3 linked regions of the Caenorhabditis elegans genome follow. The protein of the gene in region 1 interacts with the protein of each later gene in a pairwise test. Each region holds a gene or a part of one and is shown in the gene's direction. Other genes may lie near its edges.

Region 1 (7,332 bases):
AAATGAAAAAAGATTGATTTGCCACCAAATACCTAACGAGACCCGACTCTTGGGGGCGGATTTTTATGGAAAATTTACGATAAAATCGAAATATTTTCCAAATGTTTTGAACTCAAAATCCTGAGAATGCGTATTGCACAACACATTTGACGCGCAAAATATCTCGCAGCGAAAACTACAGTAATGACTACTGTAGGTGTCGATTTACGGGGCTTGGCGGCAGCTCGTAAATCCACACTTACAGTAGTGATTACTGTAGTTTTCGCTGCGAGATATTTTACGCGTCAAATGTGTTGTGCAGAATATCTCGCAGCGAAAACTACAGTAATGACTACCGTGTTCAAAAAAACAAAAAATTGGGAAAATAACTTGATCTTTCCTGGAAAACACTGAAAAATCGTATATTTTCCAGAAAAATACGCTCCGCCCCCAACAGGCGGGTCTCGTTAGGTATTTGTAGACAAAACTTTAAATTCAAATGTTTTTGTCACGTTTTTCATTAGTTTAATAAATTTTTATGCCGAAATTTATAAAATAACATAAGTTCGACGAAAAAATCAATAAAATCGATGGAAAATTGAAAATTTTCCTAACGAGACCCAACTGTTGGGGGCGGAGCGTTACCAATTGTCCGTGGAGCGCGTTTTCACGTCGATTTCAAAAGGAATTTCAATTTTTTTCCAGAGACGGAGCTCTTCGAGTCATTCGACCGCTGGTGATGGTTCGCGAGAAGGCTCTACGAAATTTCGCCGAGGATAAAAGTATTTTCAGCGATTTTTTTTTTGAATTTATCTCCAAATAAATAATTTTCCAGAACTCCCAGTTGTCGCGGAAAACTGCCCGGCATGCTTCAACCAGGCCACCGAACGTCACCGTGTCAAGCAGCTCCTGGCTCAGCAGGAGCTCATCTTCCCCGACTTGTTTAATTCACTGAGATCTGCTCTGAAACCACTGCTTTTGGTGGGTGATTTATGGGTTTTCAAGCTCTAGTAACGCGGGATGTCCCTTGAAATGGCAGAGTTTTGGGAAGCTCGGCCGCGACGCAGCAGCGCGCGGAGCGGCTCAGGCAAAAACGTTGATTCTGTTTTTTTTTCTACCAGAAAATGATAAAATCAATGTGTTCGTCTGAGCCGCTCCGCATGCAGCTGCGTCGCGGCCGAGCTTCCCAAGCTGAAAACTCTTCCATTTAAATATAAGAGGGACTCTGAGCCCCCTTGAGCTCTTTTTTTCAAATCTAATAAATGTTTTCCAGGTTGATTCGGCGCACACCAGCGTGATGCGGAGCCAGGCGGTGCATAATATTGTGAAGGAAATGTCATAGGGAATTTTTCCTATAAAAATTAAAATTTTCCTATTAAAAAAAATATTTAAATATTTTTCTTGTTGTTAAATGTTAATCGTAATTCGTCCTTGAGCGTTTGAATGTTTTTTTGATGTTTTGGTTTGTTGAATAAAAACTTTCAAAAATAAAACCGACAACTGACACATTGATGAAAAAGTGAGTAAAAAGTTAGTCAGCTGTTCCATCGGAAGCCGGCTCAAAGCTCTCAAGCTCCAAAGCTCCAAAGCTCCGAGCCAGTCTGCCGCCGGAATGCGGATCGCCTTGATTTTCCTCGTTCTCCTCGTTTCCTTCGCCTCGTCATGCAAGAATTTCGATAAATATATGAATATGTTCTGCCGTTACGGCTTGGAGCAATCCCCATGCACTGTTGAGGATTGTAAGTTTTTTTATTTATTGATTTTTTGTGTTTTGTTTCAAAAGATTCATAATTAATTTCAGATAGCACCTACAAATCCGCGTGCTGTGCCATGAAGAACAACTGCTCGTACAAGGAATTCCCGAAGGATGATGTCTGCTGCTTCACTGTTGAGTGCCTCAAGAGATGCTTCCCGGAGAAGCTGCTCAAGAACGATAAAGTCTATTAAATAATTGGATTTTGATGTTTTAATTTTTTTCCAATAAAGCCAATTTTTTAGACTAAATTTTCGGCGATTTTCTTCTTTTTTGAGATAATTTTTCAAATTTCGCGCGGGAAAAGTGATTTTGCGCCACTTTTTGAGCCTCTGCGGCCATAATCGAAGACTTTCAAAAAAACGAGTTTCTCCACTTTTTGACTCGAAATAAAGCGTTTTCCGAAACATTTTGAACGTTTTATTAAATATGATTTTTGGTCATTTTGACAGTGTTTGAATTGTTTTTCCGTTGTTAAAGGAAAAATGACACGATTTCCCATAAAAACCCTTTAAAAACAAGCAAATTTGAGTTTTTTTGAACGTTTTCTCCATAAATTTCGATAAAAAACCGAAAATTCCGTCTGAAAAGTTGTAAAATGTGTTCCAGAAAAAAACAAAAAATTGTTTTTTCAGAAATCTGTGCAATATTGCGTGAGGGTGTTTGCACAAGTGTCGTCAAATCGGGTGTTTTCTATTTTCGTTTTGTTTATTGAAAAATTTTCGCTCACTGAAAACGGGTTTTCTCTGCGAAACCTGAATTTTTCCTCGTTTGTTCAATTAAAAATTGATTATTTAAATTTCAGAGCATGTCAGAGCTATCAGATGAAGAAATTTCCTTGCAAGCGCTTTACGATCCGAGCAAAAAGGTGATCGGCGATATTGAAGATGGGATTTTTTCCACCCCGGAGCTCCAACCTCGCATCAAAACGGGAATTGATAATCTCCAGTTGGTCACGAAGCTTGTGAATCAGATGAGATTGTTTTCGTCGAATGAGCAGGTTTTTTATCGAAAAAAAAAAAGATTATTTCTGAAATTAAATGATTTTTTTTCAGATTGAAGACGTTCCAACAAACTCGCTGCCCTATCTCCTTGTCCCATGTTTTTTGGGAATTCTCCACCAAAATTTGATGACTGAGCCCGGCCTGAAGCTCGACGAACTGAGAAAATCCAAAATTTATATGCGAAATTTTCTGGATCGCCTCCGAGATTTGTGCCTGATCACCACCAGATTACCATGGGAAGATGAGGATACAGAAGAGCAAAATTTAAAGGAGAAGCCGAAGCTTGCAGTTGAAGAGATCAGAAGATTGAAGTTGGAGCGTCACAAGAAGAAGCAAGAGCTCAAAATGGCGGAGCTCAGGATCCAAAAGCAGCTGGAAGCCGTTTCAATTGATGAGCAGAATCTCAGAGAGCTCTATATTACTCAGTTATTGTTCTGGAGTGAAAGATGTTACGAGGAGTTGCAGGCGATTGATGGTGTGTAGAATATCGCCTAGTTTCCATGGAAAAATTATTTTTAAAAATCACGAAAAATCGGAATTAATGTGATTTTCTGGCAGAAAAACGCAATGTTATCATATTTTTTTTCTGAGAACTCGAAGAAAACTGGAATTTTTGCTTGAAAAATCGTTTTGTTGCTCTAAAAATGCTCAAAATGGCTTCGAAATGCCGAATTTCATGGAAAATAAGGAGAAAAATGGCTAAATTTAGCTAAACTTCCGGATTTCGCACATTTTTTCATTAATTTAACGATGTTTCCAGACGAATGGTAACCAAAACACAGAAAAACAGCAAATATGTTCAAATTATGATCTTTTATTCGAGAAAAAAACTATTTTTCTGTGCGACGCTGCTTTTTAAAGATTTTTTGTAATTTTTTTAAACTATTATTTTAAAAAATCGAAAAATTCAATTTTCAGGGTCATTTTGAGGCTCTAAGAGCTATAAAATTCGTTTTTACCCACAGACAATTAAAAAAAAAGCAAAAAAAGGAAAAATAATAATTAACTCATTTTTTAAATTTTTGCAAAACTCCTTTAAAATTAGAAAGTTGTAAAAAAAATTTCGAATTTTCAATTATTCAAAAATTGGAAAAAAATTAGACAATTAACAGGAAAATTCATTTCTTTTATCAAATCTGGTTTATTTTGATTTGAAAAATCAGAAAATATATAGTTTTCTTCTACAAACAAAAAAATGATCAAATCACGACCAAATCGGAGATTTCCGCTAAATTTTGGACTTTTTTCTTGTTTGTAGAAAAAAAAGATATATTTTCTAAAGTTTTTCATCAAAATAAATCTAAATTTTTTTTTCGATTTTTGAATTAAAAAAATTAATTATTCAAAAATCGAAAAAAAAATTTATTTTGATGAAAAACTTCAGAAAATATATCATTTTTTTTCTACAAACAAGAAAAAAGTCCAAAATTTAGCTAAAATCTCCGATTTGGTCGTATTTTGGTCATTTTTTTGTTTGTAGAAGAAAACTATATATTTTCTGATTTTTCAAATCAAAATAAACCACATTTGATAAAAGAAATGAATTTTCCTGTTAATTGTCTAATTTTTTTCCAATTTTTGAATAATTGAAAATTCGAAATTTTTTTAAACAAAAAAATAAAAAAAATTTAAATAATAAGTTAATTATTATTTTTATTTTTTGCAAATTTTTTAATTTTCTGTCAGTAAAAAAGTTTTTTAATAGTTTTTAGAGCCTCAAAATGACCCTGAAAAATTGAATTTTTCGAGTTTTGAATAATTTTCAGTTCTTCATGGCCAAGCCTTTTAAGCCTTTTAGAGCAGAAAGCGACGTTTTTAAAAACGGAAAACAATTTTCAGACGAGCTTCCACTGCTGAAAATGATGGCTGAACGAGCATCTCACCCACATCGTCATCCAGCTCCACCACCAGCAACAAAGACAGTTCCAACACTTAAACCCTTCATTATTACCAGAGATGCTCAACAGAAGCAGGTCTTTGGGCTCGGATATCCAGGAATTCCAGCGATGAGTGTCGATGAATGGTATCATCAGAAATTCGGTCATAATCCACAAAATGCTCCACAATCGTCGGCTCCAGCCGGGGCAGAAGCTCAAGAATCCGAAGAAGAGGTTGATGATGACGAGGCGAGAGCGAAGGCGATGCGTTGGGATGAATATAAGGATGATCATCGACGTGGATGGGGAAATATGCACAATAAAGGATAAATTATATTGTAGATCTCTACTTTTACGCGGGATTCCTAGCTCCCGCATGTGTCGATTTACGCGGCTTGTGTACTTCACGAGGAGAAGGCGAAAAATTTTGAAAAATCTGCATTTTTTGAATGGAAAAATTGCAGAATTGGCAATTTTCGGCGGATTATTTTGAGAATTAAAAAAAAATTGCAGTTTTTATGGGAAAAAATTTTTTGATAAAATTATTGAAAATTTTTTCCGCGAAAATCTGCAATTATCCGTTTTTTACGATATTTTTCTAGAAAAAAATCAATAAAATTGCGGTTTTCTGGAAATTTCAAAAAATTCCAGGTTTTTCGAAAATTTTGAAAAATAAATTATTCAAATAGAGATATTTCAGATATTTCTTTCAAAAAACTTGAAAATTTGCGTTTTTTTGAAAATTCTGAAAAAATTCAATAAAACCGCGGTGTTCTCTTTGAAATTCTCAAAAATCACTGGTTTTTTTTTGGGAAAATTCAAAAAATTGAGGATTTTTCACTAAGAAGTCTCAAAAAAAAATTCGCCGAATTTCCTGAAAATTCTCAAAATTTTCCATAAAAATTGCGGATTTTAGCAAGAGTTTTTTTCAAAAAAAAAATCGGATTTTTCCAAAAAAAAGTTCCCTTCACTTCGGGGAGTTCACGAGCCGCGTAAATCGACATTTTTATACGGCGTCTTATTTTCGTTTCGAATAAATGTGAAACTGTAAATAATTATATTTTATTATATTTTTTTTTGCATTTTTAAAGGGTTTTTACCTTTTTTATACATAAGTTCCAAAATATTTTTCAGATTTTCAGAAAAAAAAAATTTCAGAATGGCATTCCGTAAGCGTCGTCACGATTCGGAAGGAGATTCCGATGAAGAGAGACTTCCGATCAATAAAGATGAAGATGAGGATCTGAAAGCTGTAAGGAGCACGATTTTTGGCTGAAAATCGGGGATTTTCTACCTTGAAAATGAAAAAATTGGCAAAAACTAACCATTTTCGTAACAAATTTCGATTTTTGATTAAAAAAAAACCGAAAAAATCAAGAAAAAGTTTCACAATTCGGATTTTCTCTTAAAAAAAACTATTTTTGACGAAATTTTGAAACTTTTTTGTAAAAAATTCAATAAAACAAGATTTTAAGCACTTTTTTCGGATTTTTCAGAAAATAAAAATTTTTTAGAACAGTTTCTTTTCAGAAAAAATCAAAACTTTTTTTTTTCAATTTTTAATCGAAAAATCGGCAAAAAGCTACTTTTGTCTTCAAAATTCTGAGAAAATATCCATTTTTTACATTCTTACTCAATTTTTTGAAAAAAAAAAAGATTTTTCTTAAAAAATGTATTTCCGATAAAATTTTAGCAATTTTCCTCAATTTTTTTGGCGATTTTTCGATTAAAAACTTGAAAAAATTCGAAAAAAGCGCTTAAAAACTAGCTTTATTGAATTTCACTCAAAAAAAAACTGAAAAAAAGAGTTATACAAATAACAGGAACTGAAGAGTAAAATAAAAAAACATTCTATTAAAAAAAACCGGTTTTAATTATTTTTTTCTCAATGTTTTAATTAATAAATTGATAATTTTGATTTAGTGTTAAAAATAATCAAAAATCTAATTTTCGGTCTATTTTCTAATTTTTTTGAGAGAAATTTCTACTTTGAAAAAATTATTTTCAAATTTTCAAAGCTTAAGTTTCTCTCAAAAATTAAGAAAATAGACCGAAAATTTGATTTTTTTTAAAGCTAAATCAGAAATTATCAATTTATTAATTAAAAAATCGGAAAAAAATTAATTTCATTTTTTAAATAGAAAATACGATTAATATAATTTTTTGAAACAAAGAAAAATACCCGAAAATTGTAAATAATTATTGAAAAATATTAAAAAAATTTCCAGGAACCGGCAAAAAAGTCGAAAAACATGTGGTCAGATATGTTGCTCGAGGAGCAACTTCTCGAAAAAGGTCAACAAATTAATTTGGATCGAACATCAAGAAAGCAGCCAAATGTTTCACGTGGTCCTGAATCTTATTTGATGCCACAGGACGAATTTCAGCGGAAACAATCGAGAAATGCTAATCAAAAGAAAAAGAATGAGGTGTTCGATGTGAGGAAGCTTGAATTTCTGGGATTTTATTGGAAAAAATGCGATTTTCTGGCAAAAATTATCAGAAAAATGCGCAAAATTGGTGTTTTCAGCTGCTTTTTTTGAAAAAATAATTTAATTTAAAAAAAAAATGTTGCCTTTTTTTTTTTTTGGAAAAATTGCAGTAAAAAGCAATTTTTGAAAATGAATGTATATTAATTGTCAGAAAAATAATTGAATTTAATTTAAAAATTCTAAAAAAACTAGTTTTCTAGCAAAAAGCTACGAAAACCAACATTTTC
Region 2 (4,864 bases), on another chromosome or scaffold:
AATTTTCATAAATAATCAACAGCTATATTTTCAAAAATGGATAAAACTACAATTGTTATTTTCTCTAAATATTTGTACTGTGAGTGAGGATTTTCAACCTATATATTTACCTTTTCGTCAAAATAATAATTGTTTTCACAATATCGTCTCTTTAATACATTATATATTTATCAAATTTTTCAGATAGCATCTCTGCCCGAAAGGAGTGGTTCTTCATTTCCGAGGACCGCCACCGCAACAACGTCGGAACTACATAATTTGATATACTTGTTCACAAGAAAGCATTCATATAGGATACCTTGAAAGCTTCCACTGATAGACGGTAAGTTGTGTTTCCAGCTAATCCAATAAATGTGTAGTCGCGCAAAAATGCATCAACCAAAACTGTTTGAGATGATTTTTCCGTTTGTTGTGAACCTGAAATCGTAAAACTCAAATTGGTAAGATAACAATTATATTGTGAGCCTATCATATATTCTATATTCTGAATGTTCAAAATGGCCAGAGCTCGTACTTCTCATAACAGTTACAACTAATCGTTGTCTTGTCACAATTTCTTCATCGGAATCATGTTTCCATCGAATTCGAATTGCGTCATTTCTAACCTCAATTACATCGACACCATCACCTTCTCGATCTTCATCGATATCGTTTTCTCCTGCTAATAATTCGAAACTATTTATAGAACTACGAGCTTATTAACTTACAAACGAGTATTAAGTACGGAATAAAAATCAGAAAGTGTATGGGAAATCGCATTCGAATTAGATTGACGTTGTGAAAACAGAAAAATTAGATTGGATGAAGAGAAAAGGAGAAATCATCGTGTGTCAAAAAGGATAATATTGATAGAATTCTTTCTTGGTCTTTGAAAACGAGAGAAGAGAAAAATAACGAAAATTTGATATCGGTAGGAGAAAGGCATTTTATCGTGTCGCAATAAAAAAAACCTTGAATACAGTAATTCAAACCTGTCCTAATTTTTAGATATCTGTAAAACGAACTGGAAATAAATGAGAAATTCTGTGAAAGGTGGATATAAAATTGCAAATTTCCAACTTTGGCTAATTTCCCTGATCGAATTTTCTCTAAATTTAGAACTGCACAAAAAAGCGAAATTAGAATATGGTGAATGGTTTCAAAATGAGCGTGGCTTCTTCATTAGGTTCAAATAAGTATTAGAAAGAGTTGGGAAATTTTGATTTCAAGCAATTTTTTAAAATCTGAGAAATTTTATATGAGGAAACAGAACATTTCAAATAATGCTAAAACAGTTACTTAAAAGCAATGATTTTCATCATTTTTTAGGATATTCTATTTCCTTTTTTAACCGTGGCAATGTCCGTATGTTTCTCTCATTCTCTTTGTCGACGGATAAACGCGCCTTGCTCATTCTTATTTTATAATATCTTCTAGTTTTCTTCCGAATTTTCGCTGTTCATTGTTTTGTTCCTGTGTTTCAAAATAAAACTATTTCAATATTGCATGTTTTCGAAATTTCTCCAATCGTCAAAATTGAATCACTTTTAAATCTATCGAATTTCTTTCGGATTCGAAATCCAAATGGGTTTTGATAAATTAATGTCAAGCTTCGCGGCCTAGAATCCTTGCGTGTGCAAATGCGCCCTTTCGAAGTATCCGGATATATCCATAAATAATATTTATTTTCCGCCGAAAATTTTCCGGATAGAAATTTATTCGCGTGCCGCACACCACTCATCCGCGCGGAAAATATCTTATTCTTATTTTATTTTAGAAAATCCTTTTGCAAAATCGAATGCGCAAGTTTTCCCTAAAAATCGATAATTTCACACACATTGAACCTCTTTTCAGACAAGACGGGTCAACAGTTGGTTCAAACACAATAATTTTCAAGAAATGTCAATTGTGAATACAACAGAATGCATAATTTGTTATAATGAATATGGTGAGCACATTAATGAATTTCGAAAAAAACTTCTAAATTTCAGACACCGAACTCCGGAAACCTTGCATAGGCACATGCGGCCACTCCATATGTGAAAGTTGCAAACATCAAATGGTCTCATCAAAATGTCCACAGTGCAATCGAGAAGAAGCCTTCGCAATTACTACAATCAATTATCAAGTTTTAGAATTAATAAAGCACTTTAAAAGTATGCAAAGTGGGGGAGTAGCGCCACAGGCACAATCCACAAATGTAAGTATAATTTCCTTTTTCTATAAAAACCCAGAAAAAGTTTTTGCAGAGCTTAGACGAAGGAACATGCAGTGAGTGCACCCTACATTCCAAGAAATTACGAATTTGTAAAACGTGCGCCGTCGGAAAAGGAGTTCTGAAGCAAGCCGAAGGCAAAAAAGAATTAGTATTAGTTGTTGGAGATGATGGAGTCGATGAAGCAATGACACGAGCTAAGAAGATGGCGATTTGCGGTGATTGTGCTTTGGATGGGGCCCAACACGAAGGACATCAGACAATGCAGCTGGCTCTTTTGAAAAATAGTATCGAAGATCAAGCACCGACTAATCTCGGAAATAAAATCAGTAAAATCAGTGAGCTTTCGAAGCAGGTGTGCGATGATATCTCTGACAAATTTGCGGCGACAATTAAATCACTTCAAAATTACTTCGAAAAGCATGAAAAGTTGTCTCCGCCCGGAAGAAAGACTCACTTCAACAACATCGAAGCTGAAATGGAGAAAATAAGTGATACGATAGCTCTTGTCAAAGATGCTGGAACACGATTGGATTTTTTGAATAACGAAATCGAAGAGCACGATCGAATCGTTTTTCAAACTAAACAACCTGTTACTAAGGCAAATTTCGTTTTCGCTAGTCAGGATCCCGTATTGGTTGCAGGTAAAAGTTATATTTATGTTGTGCATTCTTGAACGAAAAAAGCTCATCGCGACGCTCGCGTGTCGTTCGTTGTTATCATGCTTTTGCATTTTATACAGACTCCTCCCGCGATTCCAGTCTAAAAAATCTCTCAAAATTATTCTTTTTTTCCAGATCGAAAGCAGAGTGCCCGTGAACCACTTTTGATTGGAGTCTACGATCCTAAAAACAGAGGATGGACGCCAGTTGGGCGAATGCCGAACCCAAAATCAAACTACGCTGTTGCCTGCAGCAAATCTCAAATTTATATAGTCGGAGGAATGAATAACGGATCATGGTTGAACAACGTTGAAATGTATGATCGGGAGAAAAACTTGCGAAGAGATGTGGGTTATTCTTTCAGCTTTTAAAAAATTCTCTAGAATTGTAAACTTTTAAAACAAATAATTTTTATTGATTTCAACAAAAATGTCAAAGTTATTACAGTGTAATAAAATGAAGCGTGGAAGAACACGAACGTCGGCGGGAATCCATAACAACAAAATGTACGTGGCCGGTGGATATGATAGCACTTATATGAATTCTGTGGAAGTTTATGATACTGATCAAGGAGAGTGGAAGGATGGACCATCGTTGCAAAGGCCTCGTGCCGATGCAGCGGTTGTTCCATGCAATGGAGAGGTTTATGGTATGATTTCGATTAATTAGTTGATTAAAAAAGGTTTAATTTCAGTGTTGGGAGGTTTCAATGGAAAAGAATATGAAGAGAAGATTGAGAAGCTGTCAGAACCTGGTCAAAAGTTCGAAATTGTGGGCGACATGCAAGGAAGTCGCGCCGGATTTGGATCGTGTGCCTTCAGAGGAAGAATCTACATTGCTGGTGGATGGAGTAACTCGAGTAATACGTTGAGATCAGTTCGAAGCTATGATCCATTGACGAAATCATGGAGAGATGAGCCATCGTTGAGCAAAGATCGAAAATATTTCACTCTTCACTCGACGAACGAAGCTATTTATGCTATTCGCGGATGTGCTGACAATTGGAGCTTAATCAATGAAGTCGAGCGATTTGATCCAGAAAAACGTGCATGGGAGATTATTAGTTGCTCCGGACCAATGGTTGGAGCCGGTTCATCTGCATCGAATGAGCAAGCTATTACATAAAATCGTGTATCTTATTTTCATAAAAACAGCTGTTGTATGAGCTGTACTCGTTGATTTTCGGTTTGGCGTTAACCTTTGAGACCAATCAGTTTACTGTTTTGGAGACCCGAAGAACTCGGGGGATGTCCAATTGGGGGGATTACCAACTCGGGGGATTGGCCCCGCCCACAGAACCGGGGCTTGCAATACGCCCATTTTTGCAACTGCCGCACGGTTTTGAAACTGTATTTTTCTTGTTAATTCTCGCTCTATTGAGAAAAATACAGTTTCGAAACCGTGCAGTTGCAGAAATGGGCGTATTGCCAGCCACGGTTCTGTGGGCGGGGCCAATCCCCCGAGTTGGTAATCCCCCCAATTGGACATCCCCCGAGTTCTTCGGGTCTTCTGTTTTGTGACTGATTACCAAAAATCCAACTTGCTCATTATTCATATCTAGCTGAAACCTAGTACTATTAAACGTATTATTTAAATTTTAGGATCTTTCCATTTTTCTGTCTCTCTGTAAAATGTAATTATGAATTTCGTGCCCCCAAAAACTTTTTATAATTTTTAACTCATTTTTTTCGCATTTAAAGGCGTAGGAGCTATTTTCACAATCAAAGAAGGGCACGAAATTCATAAGTACCCTTTTTCGATCTCCTGCGCTTTACGTGTTTTTTGGTTCTTTCATCTTTCATCACCCCATCAATAACCAATAAGTGTTATTGTTTCAATTCCAGACTCGTGTTAAATTGTTCATTAATATAATTTATCCTTCTCTCAAATCACGAAATTCTGTGAATATTCTTTTATAAATAAAATGCACCCATGAATTTCAAATTATTATCACTGCCTCAAATAACATTTCCTCGACATCACAGCCTGCGTCAACGCCTCAACATTT
Region 3 (8,410 bases), 840 kb from region 1:
CCGAGATATGTGCCAAAACCAATAGCCCAGCCAGCTCGATATGCAATTCCAAGTCCGGGTGCTTTGAATGCCTTAAGAGTGAGTGACAGCCGGAATCGCTCAGTTTACTGGAGCGCACTTGCAATAATACATACTTTTTTTTCAGCGTCCCCCAGAATGGAAAGGTCAGCGCCGACATGCGCCGAGTTACGTGAAATCCAGAGAAAGCGTCACGTTCAGAGGATGCTCCAGATTTCCAGTCACATCACCGCATTTCGCGAAAGCTCACCTGGAACCTGTGACTGATGGAAAAGATGATTCGAAAATTGTCAAATATCGATTTGTACCGAAGCGACCAGATTTTGATGGAGAACGCGAACATAAGAAGTGACAAATCTTGGTTTTTTTGTGTTTAAGGCTTTTAGAGCATTGATAATAAATTTTTTGTTGGATTTGCTGTGTTTTTTTGCGGAAATACACAGATTTTTGCAGAAAAAGTTAAGAAAAAACTGCTACAGTTTGCCCTTTTCCACTTTAAATTGCCGCTTAAAAACTCCTCGAAAAGAGTGTGCAAAGCATGGAGACGCAGACACGCACGAAAATCACGCCAGCACGTTACTGGCGCACTTGAGTCATGTGCTGGCGCATTTCTTGTCATGATGAAATTTATTAATTTTTTCTTCGTTTTTTACCAATTTCCGCCGATTTTTCGTTTTTTATTCCTAATTTCTTCAAATTTTGGCAATTTCAGACAATATGCTGCGCAAAGGAGTGTCTTTCGTCGGCCAGGCTGTTCAACAAACGCTGTAAGTTCCTTGAATTTTGAATAACGGTGAAAATCAAATTTTTTCATTGCAGGAAAACTCAGAAAAACTTGCGCATTCAAAGATTCAGCGCCACGGCATCACAATCATCGGAAGAAGTCAATTATGAGATTAGAAAAGACGGAAAGAGACTCAGAGGTAGCGATTTTTACTCTAAAACAAATTCTAAATTCTAAAAACTGATATAATATTTAAAAAAAAACCAGGAGCCGACTATGAAGAAATTGTTCTTACTTCGATTGCCGGCGAGGACAAGACACAGATTCCAAAGGGTGCTTTTGATGTTCTTCTCAAGGAATACGACGATTTGCAGGCCGAAAGCTTGGATTTTAAGGATAAATATCAAAGATCGCTTGCTGAAACTGAAAATGTTCGTCGGCGAGGTATCAAGCAAACCGACGATGCTAAGGTTTTTGCAATCCAATCATTCTGCAAAGATTTACTTGAGGTTCGATTTTTAAAATCAAAATCAACCGAAAAACAATTAAAATAATTCCAAATTTGCAGGTCTCCGATATTCTCGACATTGCCGTCAAGTCTGTGAAGCCAGAAGATCTGGAATCGGGAGGAAAAGCTCTGAAAGATCTTTTCGAAGGAGTTTCAATGACCCGTACTGTCATGGCAAAGACATTCGCAAAGCATGGCCTTGTGACCGTGGATCCAACCAATGAAAAGTTCGACCCCAATCTCCACGAAGCCGTTTTCCAGATTCCATCTGCTAATGTTAGTGCTAACCGCCCGAATTTTCCGAAATAAAAGAGCCAAATCTTGTATTTTTTGAACAATTTGGGCTTATTTAATCCTTTTTAAATGCCACAAAATGCTTAATTTCCTCCATTTTCAGGCCAAACAACCTGTCGGACATATCGAAGTGTGTACAAAGATCGGCTACAGCCTGAAAGAACGTCCAATTCGGCCTGCTCAAGTTGGAGTCGTCTCTAAATAATTTTCTTTTAATTTTCCTCTGGTTTTTTAATGTTTTTCCGGTTTTTTGTAGTTTTTTTTTGAATAGCTAGTAATTTTTATTGTTTTTCTGTTTTTTCCGTTATTTCATCACACTCCAATCACTTTTTCCCGCCGTTTTATAGGATTCGAATGAACAATTTTTGAGTTTCAATTCCCTTTTTTCCACTTTTTCGATAGGTTTTCAGCCATTTTTCATATATTTTTTAATTTTAAACAGGAAAAAAGCTTCTTTTTCATTTAAAACCGTAAAATTTTCAGAATGATCGACACAAACCTTCTTCGGGTGACAGTGTGCGATGAAGGAGAGCTCGAAAAGAGCACAACGCATTTTATTGGGTACCAAATTTTGGATATTTCAAGCGAAAAATGCGATTTTCCAAGCACAAATCGCTTTGTGTCGATTTACGCAGCTCGTGTACTCCTCGAGGAGAAGATTTTTATAGTTTTTGGAGAAAATGCTCAATTTTTGACCAATTTAACATTAAAATTGTCATTTTAATTATTTTAAATGAAAATCGACTACAAATCATCGTTTCCAGCAGTTTTCCATATTAAAAATGCTGAATTTCAGCATAAAAATTACCAAAAAAGCGAAAAATCGGCGATTTGAACGTTAAACTTTTAAAAAACAGCGAAAATGTAAAATCTAGCATTTTAGTCGAAAACTAGTATTTTTCTCCTCGGGGAGTACACGAGCTGCGTAAATCTACATTAGGCGATTTGAGCTTGGAAATTGATTTTTTTTACTCAAAATTGAAAAATTCTGCGAAAAATTTCGAATTTTTTTGCAAATTTCTAAAAAAAAACTTAAATTTCAGCTCCAAAATTATACAAAACTTAATTTTTTTCATTTCCAGATCTCGAAAAATAGAGCCGGAGCAATGGATTACGTGGGCGAGCGAATGCAAATACTTGCCCGAATCTGACGCTGTTGCTCTTTGTGCAACGTAAGAAAAAAGCAATTTTCAGCAATTTTCGGCTCAAAAACTGAACATTTTTTCAGATTAATCGATCGTCTATCACTGGAAGCCAATGTGGTGCCCGTTTCGTCGCCTGTCACAATTTGTGGAGATATTCATGGACAATTTTATGATTTACTCGAATTATTCAAAACTGGTACGGAATCGGATTCGAATTGGAAATGTCACAAAATTGGATGAAAAATTCAAAAAATCAGCCGAAAAATCGAGAAACTTTCCGGGAAAATCGGAAAATTAGCCAAAAAAAAATCGAGAAATTGGATAAAAAAATTCGTAAATTGAATGAAAAATTCAAAAGTTGAATGAAAAATTCGAAAATTTGCCGGAAAATCGAAAAAATCGATAATGTGTCGATTTACGCAGCTCGTGTACTCCTCGAGGAGGAGAATTTCACTGTTTTCGGGCCATTTTTCGCTTTTTTAACATTAAAATTGCCTTTTTCAGATGGAAAAGTATTTTACTACTGCTAAAAACGAAGAATTTTCATATTTTCAACAATAGAAACCTAGATTTTCGCCTAGAAATGGCGATTTAAGTGTTTTTTACAACAAGATCGCGAAAAAATAATTAAAAATCAAGCATTTTAGCCGGAAAATTGTGATACACTTCTCCTCGTGGAGAACACAGCTGCGTAAATCGACACAGGGCCGTGGAAGAGGCCATACGGTTTTTTTTCTGTTTTCAAACATGAAAAAAACTCGAAAAATTCATTTTTACAGCTAATTTTCGATTTTTCGACGGAAGAAGAAGTTTTGGCGACGTTTTATGTGAAAAATTCAAATATTTTGGCAATTTTGAGTGTTTTTTGTGGAAAAAGGGTGCAAAATTTGAAAATTTATAATTTTTTCAAGTTTTTCTGAAAAAAAAACAATCGTTTAAATTTATTAATTTGAAAAATCGTCGAAAATCAATAATTTCAGCAAAAAAACTCTAAAATTCTTCTCCTCGGGGAGTACACGGGCTGCGTAAATCGACACGAAACGATTTTTCATCTAAATTTAGAATATTTCACCGAAAAATCGGTATAAATCTAGAAAAAATCACTTTTTTTCATGCGAAAATCCTTTAAAAAACAGTTTTTATACGATTTTCTTGAAAAAAAAGTCAAAAAATCGATATTTTTAATCCAGAAAGCTTAAAATTTCGAAAAAAAAACTTTTTTTCGTAAATTTTTTAAATAAAAAATGGCGAAAATATATTCAGCAAAAAAAACTCTAAAATTCTTCTCCTCGGGGAGTACACGGGCTGCGTAAATCGACATAACGATTTTTCATTTAAATTTTGATTTTTTCGACTGAAAAATCGTTAAAAATCTTGAAAACCCCACTTTTCAGGCGAAAATCCTTAAAGAAACAGTTTTTATACGAATTTCTGAAAAAAAAAAGTTTGAAAAAATCGTTTTTTTTTTATCCAAAAAGCTTGAAATTTCGATTAAAAAAACCTTTTTTCGTGAATTTTTTCAGTAAGAAATGACAAAAATATATTCGGCAAAAAGCTCTGAAATTCTTCTCCTCGGGGAGTACAAAGCGATTTTTCATCTAAATTTTGATTTTTTGAATGACAAAAAAAAATCGTGACGTGACCCATTTTTTCTCATTACAGGCGGCACAGTTCCCAACACAAAATACGTATTCATGGGAGATTATGTGGATCGAGGACATTACAGTCTGGAAACTGTTACACTGCTTTTTTGTCTTCTTCTCAAGTATTTTTTGATTCTTTTTCCTACCAAAATTTCTGTAAAAAACTCCAAAATTTGCAGATATCCGAATCAAATCACACTGCTCCGCGGAAATCATGAATCTCGTCGAATTTCCAATGTTTATGGATTCTACGATGAATGTCAGAATAAATATGGACACGGAAATGTGCACAAATGGTTCTGTAAAGTAAGGAAGCGATGGAAATTGAATGGAAATTGGAAATTCGTCGTGCAGAAAAAGCGATAAAAATCGTTAAAAATTCAACGTTTTGGCGAAATTATACGCGAAAATTCATGAAAAAATGATTTTTGTGCGATTTTCTGATAATTTTAAAAATTTAACTGAAAAATTGGCTGAAAAATTCAAAATTCGTTTCAAAATGGCTCCAAAAGTAAAGCTAAAAATAAGTCGAATTTTTATAAAATTAAAAATTTCATATAAACTTTCCGGAAAATTGTTTTTCTGTAATTTTCTTTTTTAAAAAACTTCAAAAAAACATGAAATCCATCAAAATTAGTTTTTGTGCAATTTTTGGACTCAAAAATGCTCGATTTTTTTCTGGTTTTTTTAAAGAAAACCTTCAATCTGCAGAATGGAAAATTTCCAAAAAATATTATTAAAAATGCTCCGTGAGCTCCCAAAGTTCTTCTCGAAAATCGCTTCAAATTATTTTTTTAAACGAGAGGTGATTTTGTAGAATAAAAATGACGAAAATAACTTTTTACTGTCAATTTTTGCGGAAAAAATCCGAGTTTTTACGGGATAATTGGCTCTTAAAGTGCTCAAGCACTAGATTACGTGTCGAAAAATACAATTTTTAGCCGATAATTGTATCGAAAAGGTATTTTTTCACCATTTTCATCAAATTTTCAGTTTAAAAAACTAAAAATTAATTTTTTTTCAGGTATTCGACGTTCTTCCAATTGGAGCTTTAATTGATGAATCAGTACTGTGTGTACATGGAGGACTTTCACCTGATATTCGAACAATTGATAGTCTTATGTTACTTGATAGAGCTCAAGAAGTTCCTAATAAGGTTGGAAATTTTAATTTATCGTGAAAAATTAATCGAAAAATAAATAATTTACCGGAATTAATCGAAAACTAAATGTTTTTATTTGGAAAACATTGAAAATTTAGAGATAAAAAATATAAATTTATTCAAAAGTTTCATTTTTCTTGGAAGAAAATCCGAAAATTGAGAAAAAATATACGAGAAACTATAAATTTATCAAAAATATGCAGATTAAAATGAGAAAATCGAGAATTCGGGAATTTTTGGAGAATTTTACTCTAAAATACGAAAAAAAAAATTGTTTTTTTAATACGAAAGTCTTGTTTTAAAAAATTGAATAAAAAACCGAGAAAATTTGAAAAACCGAAATTATCAAATAATGATTTTGATGAGAAAAATCTTAAAATATATTCAAAAAGATGAACAATTTCGATTTTGAAAAATCCAAAAAAAGATTATTAAAATTCTTTGGATTTTCTCATAAAAAATTAAAAAATTAACTTTTCGATTGCAAAAAAAATTTTTTTTTTCCGAAAAATGAAAAATTCTCGTTTTTTTTTCTTCAAAAAATTGCGAAAAAAATACGAAAAATTAGAAAATTTACTCAAAATATATGAAAATGACTGGAAATTTTCAAAAATTATTTTTTTTTACTAAAAAAAAATGGAGAAACTCAAATTTTCAATTAAATAAATTATTTCCAAATTTGCAGGGTCCTCTATGTGACATAATGTGGTCGGATCCGGATGATGACGTCGAAGATTGGGTGATTAGTCAAAGAGGAGCTGGATTTGTAAGAAAACTGACTGATCTGCCGAATTTGGGCAAAAAAAACAAAAAAATTTGGATTTTTTCTTTTTCCAACTGAAACTTGATAGTTTTTTTTGTTTTTTGGTCCGAAAAAACCTTTATTTTTTTTGCCAAAAATACGACAGCCCTGTCAATTTTGGAATTTCCACTTTAAAATTAATTTTTTTTGCAGGTGTTCGGAGCAAAAGTGACAGAAGAATTCCTAATGAATAATGATCTTTCACTACTTTGCCGGTCCCATCAACTCGTTGACGAAGGATTTAAGTATATGTTTAATGAGAAACTCGCTACCGTTTGGTCGGGTAAGAATTTCTTTTATTTTGCTGAAAAATTAGAAAAAAAATTCCAAAAAAAAGATTATGGGTCGATTTTTGAAAAAAAAAACGGAAATTTTCCGATAATTTCCCGTTTTCGAACTTTTTTTGAAAAATTCTAATTTATCAAAATTCATTCAAAAAACTCAAAAAAAAAATCGAAAAACAAAATTTTCTCGGTTTTAAGAATTTCTCCTTTTTTCCGAAAAAAAGTTTTAATGTTTTTTCATTAAAAACTGAAAAAAAACTGAAAAACTTAAAAACTTGGAAACTGAAATTTTTTTAATCGCACAAGCTGGAAATTTTCTTGAAAACTGAAAAATACCTCAAATAAACTGAAAAAAGAGAAGAAAAAACTATTTTTCAACTGAAAAAAACTGAAATTGCTAAAAAAATTATTAAAAAACTAAAAGAAACTGATTTTAAAAAAACTGTAAAAAAAAGGATTAAAGGAAACGATAAAAATTTAAAAACAGAAAAAAGAAAATAAAACACTTTTAACTGAAAAAACTGAAATTGCTTTAAAAGTTATTACAAAAAGAAATTTCAAATAAATGGATAAATTGCAGCTCCAAACTACTGCTATCGATGCGGAAACGCGGCGGCCGTATTCGAAATCGACGGAAACAATCGCTCGACGAAATATTTCAACGCAGTTCCCGATGGAAGCCGTGAGAAGCCGGATCGTGTCGTTGCTCCGTATTTCCTCTAAATATTACCTCACACCTGCCTGCCTATTTCTATTTCCGCCACAGCTACATAATTTAATTATTCTTTAAAATTTATGGTGGAATAGTGTAAATCGCTTTTTAAAAAACCCAAAAAAAAACCTGCCAAAATAATTGAAATTCCAAAAAAATCCCACAAAAAACAATAAAATTCAAGCTAATTTCCCGTAAAATTTGACATTTTCCCCTGATTGGTCAAAAAAGGGCGGAGCAAATCGCTGATTGGTCCTGCAATCAGAGGCTTGTTAATTCTTTTTTTCGACCAATTAGCGATTAGCTTCGCCCATTTTTCGACCAATGACCGGGGAAATTTGTCAAAAGTTGAGCAAAAAACATGAATTTTTCATTATTTCTGAATTTTTTCCGGGTTTTTATCGTTTTTTTGTCAATTTTCATCATTTTTTGCTATTTCAAAGCAAATTCACGCTATTCCATCTTGAATTTTAATGTTTTTTGTCTGGAGTGGACCCCCTATAAAAGCCTCGGTTCCTCGTGTACTTGATCTTCATTTTCCCCCATTTTGTGTGTATTCTCTCTCTGATTTTTCACTTTATTCTCATGTTTTTCCTTCTTTCAGCTCCTGTTCACTTTTTTCCGTCGTGTTCCCCCTTTCTCTTTCTCTCATTCCTTAATTTAATTTTAATGTGTGAACAATTATCTCTCTCGAATAATCTCGAATCTTCATTCATATTCCCAGAGAGACGGAAATGTACAAGAAATTGGTAGGGACTAGTAGTAGGCGATTTTCACAGAAAATTTGACAAAAAAAAAGAGAGACGAAAATTGTGATACCCAAAGCACAGGGGAGAGAAAATTAAAAGCATATGAATGAATAGAAGAGGAGGACCCAGAGGATTCCAGTTGCAAAAATAAAACTGGATTTTTTCAATTTATACACAGGAATGGTTGGTGGCAGAGGAGAGTGTTACAGAAGACGGACGGTAGAGGATTTCAGATTTACATTGCAGATGGCGGTGGAGGTGGTGGCGTGTTGTCCTGGAAATTGGAATTTTAAAATTTTATAGGACGCGTACTCCCCGAGGAGAAGTTTAGAACATTTTAAAATTTGAAATAGTTTAATTTTATATTTA

Evidence for each region. The genes of interacting proteins can lie anywhere in the genome.
Region 2: the proteins of ppfr-4 (region 1) and rike-1 interact in a two-hybrid assay, tested with the Caenorhabditis elegans proteins (one large-scale study listed by BioGRID).
Region 3: the proteins of ppfr-4 (region 1) and pph-6 interact in a two-hybrid assay, tested with the Caenorhabditis elegans proteins (one large-scale study listed by BioGRID).

Annotation. Positions count from the first base shown.
Region 1 is NC_003281.10:2,617,399-2,624,730, forward strand, and holds ppfr-4 (Serine/threonine-protein phosphatase 4 regulatory subunit ppfr-4), read left to right. Parts: upstream 1-2,537; 5' UTR 2,538-2,540; coding exon 2,541-2,732; intron 2,733-2,787; coding exon 2,788-3,211; intron 3,212-4,575; coding exon 4,576-4,943; 3' UTR 4,944-5,311; downstream 5,312-7,332. Other genes in the region: Y71H2B.5 (Aminotran_5 domain-containing protein), read left to right, coding at 685-761, 815-960, 1,253-1,321; Y71H2B.4 (Lipoprotein), read left to right, coding at 1,592-1,718, 1,781-1,926; Y71H2B.2 (Phosphorylated adapter RNA export protein), read left to right, coding at 5,773-5,865, 6,842-7,051. UniProt on the Caenorhabditis elegans protein: Probable regulatory subunit of serine/threonine-protein phosphatase PP4 which may play a role in meiosis and embryonic mitosis.
Region 2 is NC_003283.11:14,542,836-14,547,699, reverse strand, and holds rike-1 (RING-type domain-containing protein), read left to right. Parts: upstream 1-1,878; coding exon 1,879-1,927; intron 1,928-1,970; coding exon 1,971-2,179; intron 2,180-2,219; coding exon 2,220-2,838; intron 2,839-2,991; coding exon 2,992-3,203; intron 3,204-3,294; coding exon 3,295-3,505; intron 3,506-3,550; coding exon 3,551-3,981; downstream 3,982-4,864. Other genes in the region: C53A5.13 (Fibronectin type-III domain-containing protein), read right to left, coding at 299-417, 515-661, 708-759; kcnl-4 (Calmodulin-binding domain-containing protein), read right to left, coding at 4,807-4,864.
Region 3 is NC_003281.10:3,459,676-3,468,085, forward strand, and holds pph-6 (Serine/threonine-protein phosphatase 6 catalytic subunit), read left to right. Parts: upstream 1-2,027; 5' UTR 2,028-2,028; coding exon 2,029-2,105; intron 2,106-2,626; coding exon 2,627-2,716; intron 2,717-2,772; coding exon 2,773-2,885; intron 2,886-4,351; coding exon 4,352-4,454; intron 4,455-4,511; coding exon 4,512-4,638; intron 4,639-5,356; coding exon 5,357-5,488; intron 5,489-6,179; coding exon 6,180-6,260; intron 6,261-6,449; coding exon 6,450-6,579; intron 6,580-7,160; coding exon 7,161-7,303; 3' UTR 7,304-7,978; downstream 7,979-8,410. Other genes in the region: C34C12.2 (Fibronectin type-III domain-containing protein), read left to right, coding at 1-78, 146-370; C34C12.8 (GrpE protein homolog, mitochondrial), read left to right, coding at 736-785, 838-941, 1,010-1,251, 1,311-1,526, 1,648-1,749; smim-14 (Small integral membrane protein 14), read right to left, coding at 8,277-8,315. UniProt on the Caenorhabditis elegans protein: Catalytic subunit of protein phosphatase 6 (PP6). In complex with saps-1, promotes actomyosin contractility during cytokinesis by regulating the organization of cortical non-muscle myosin II nmy-2 and thus contributing to correct spindle positioning.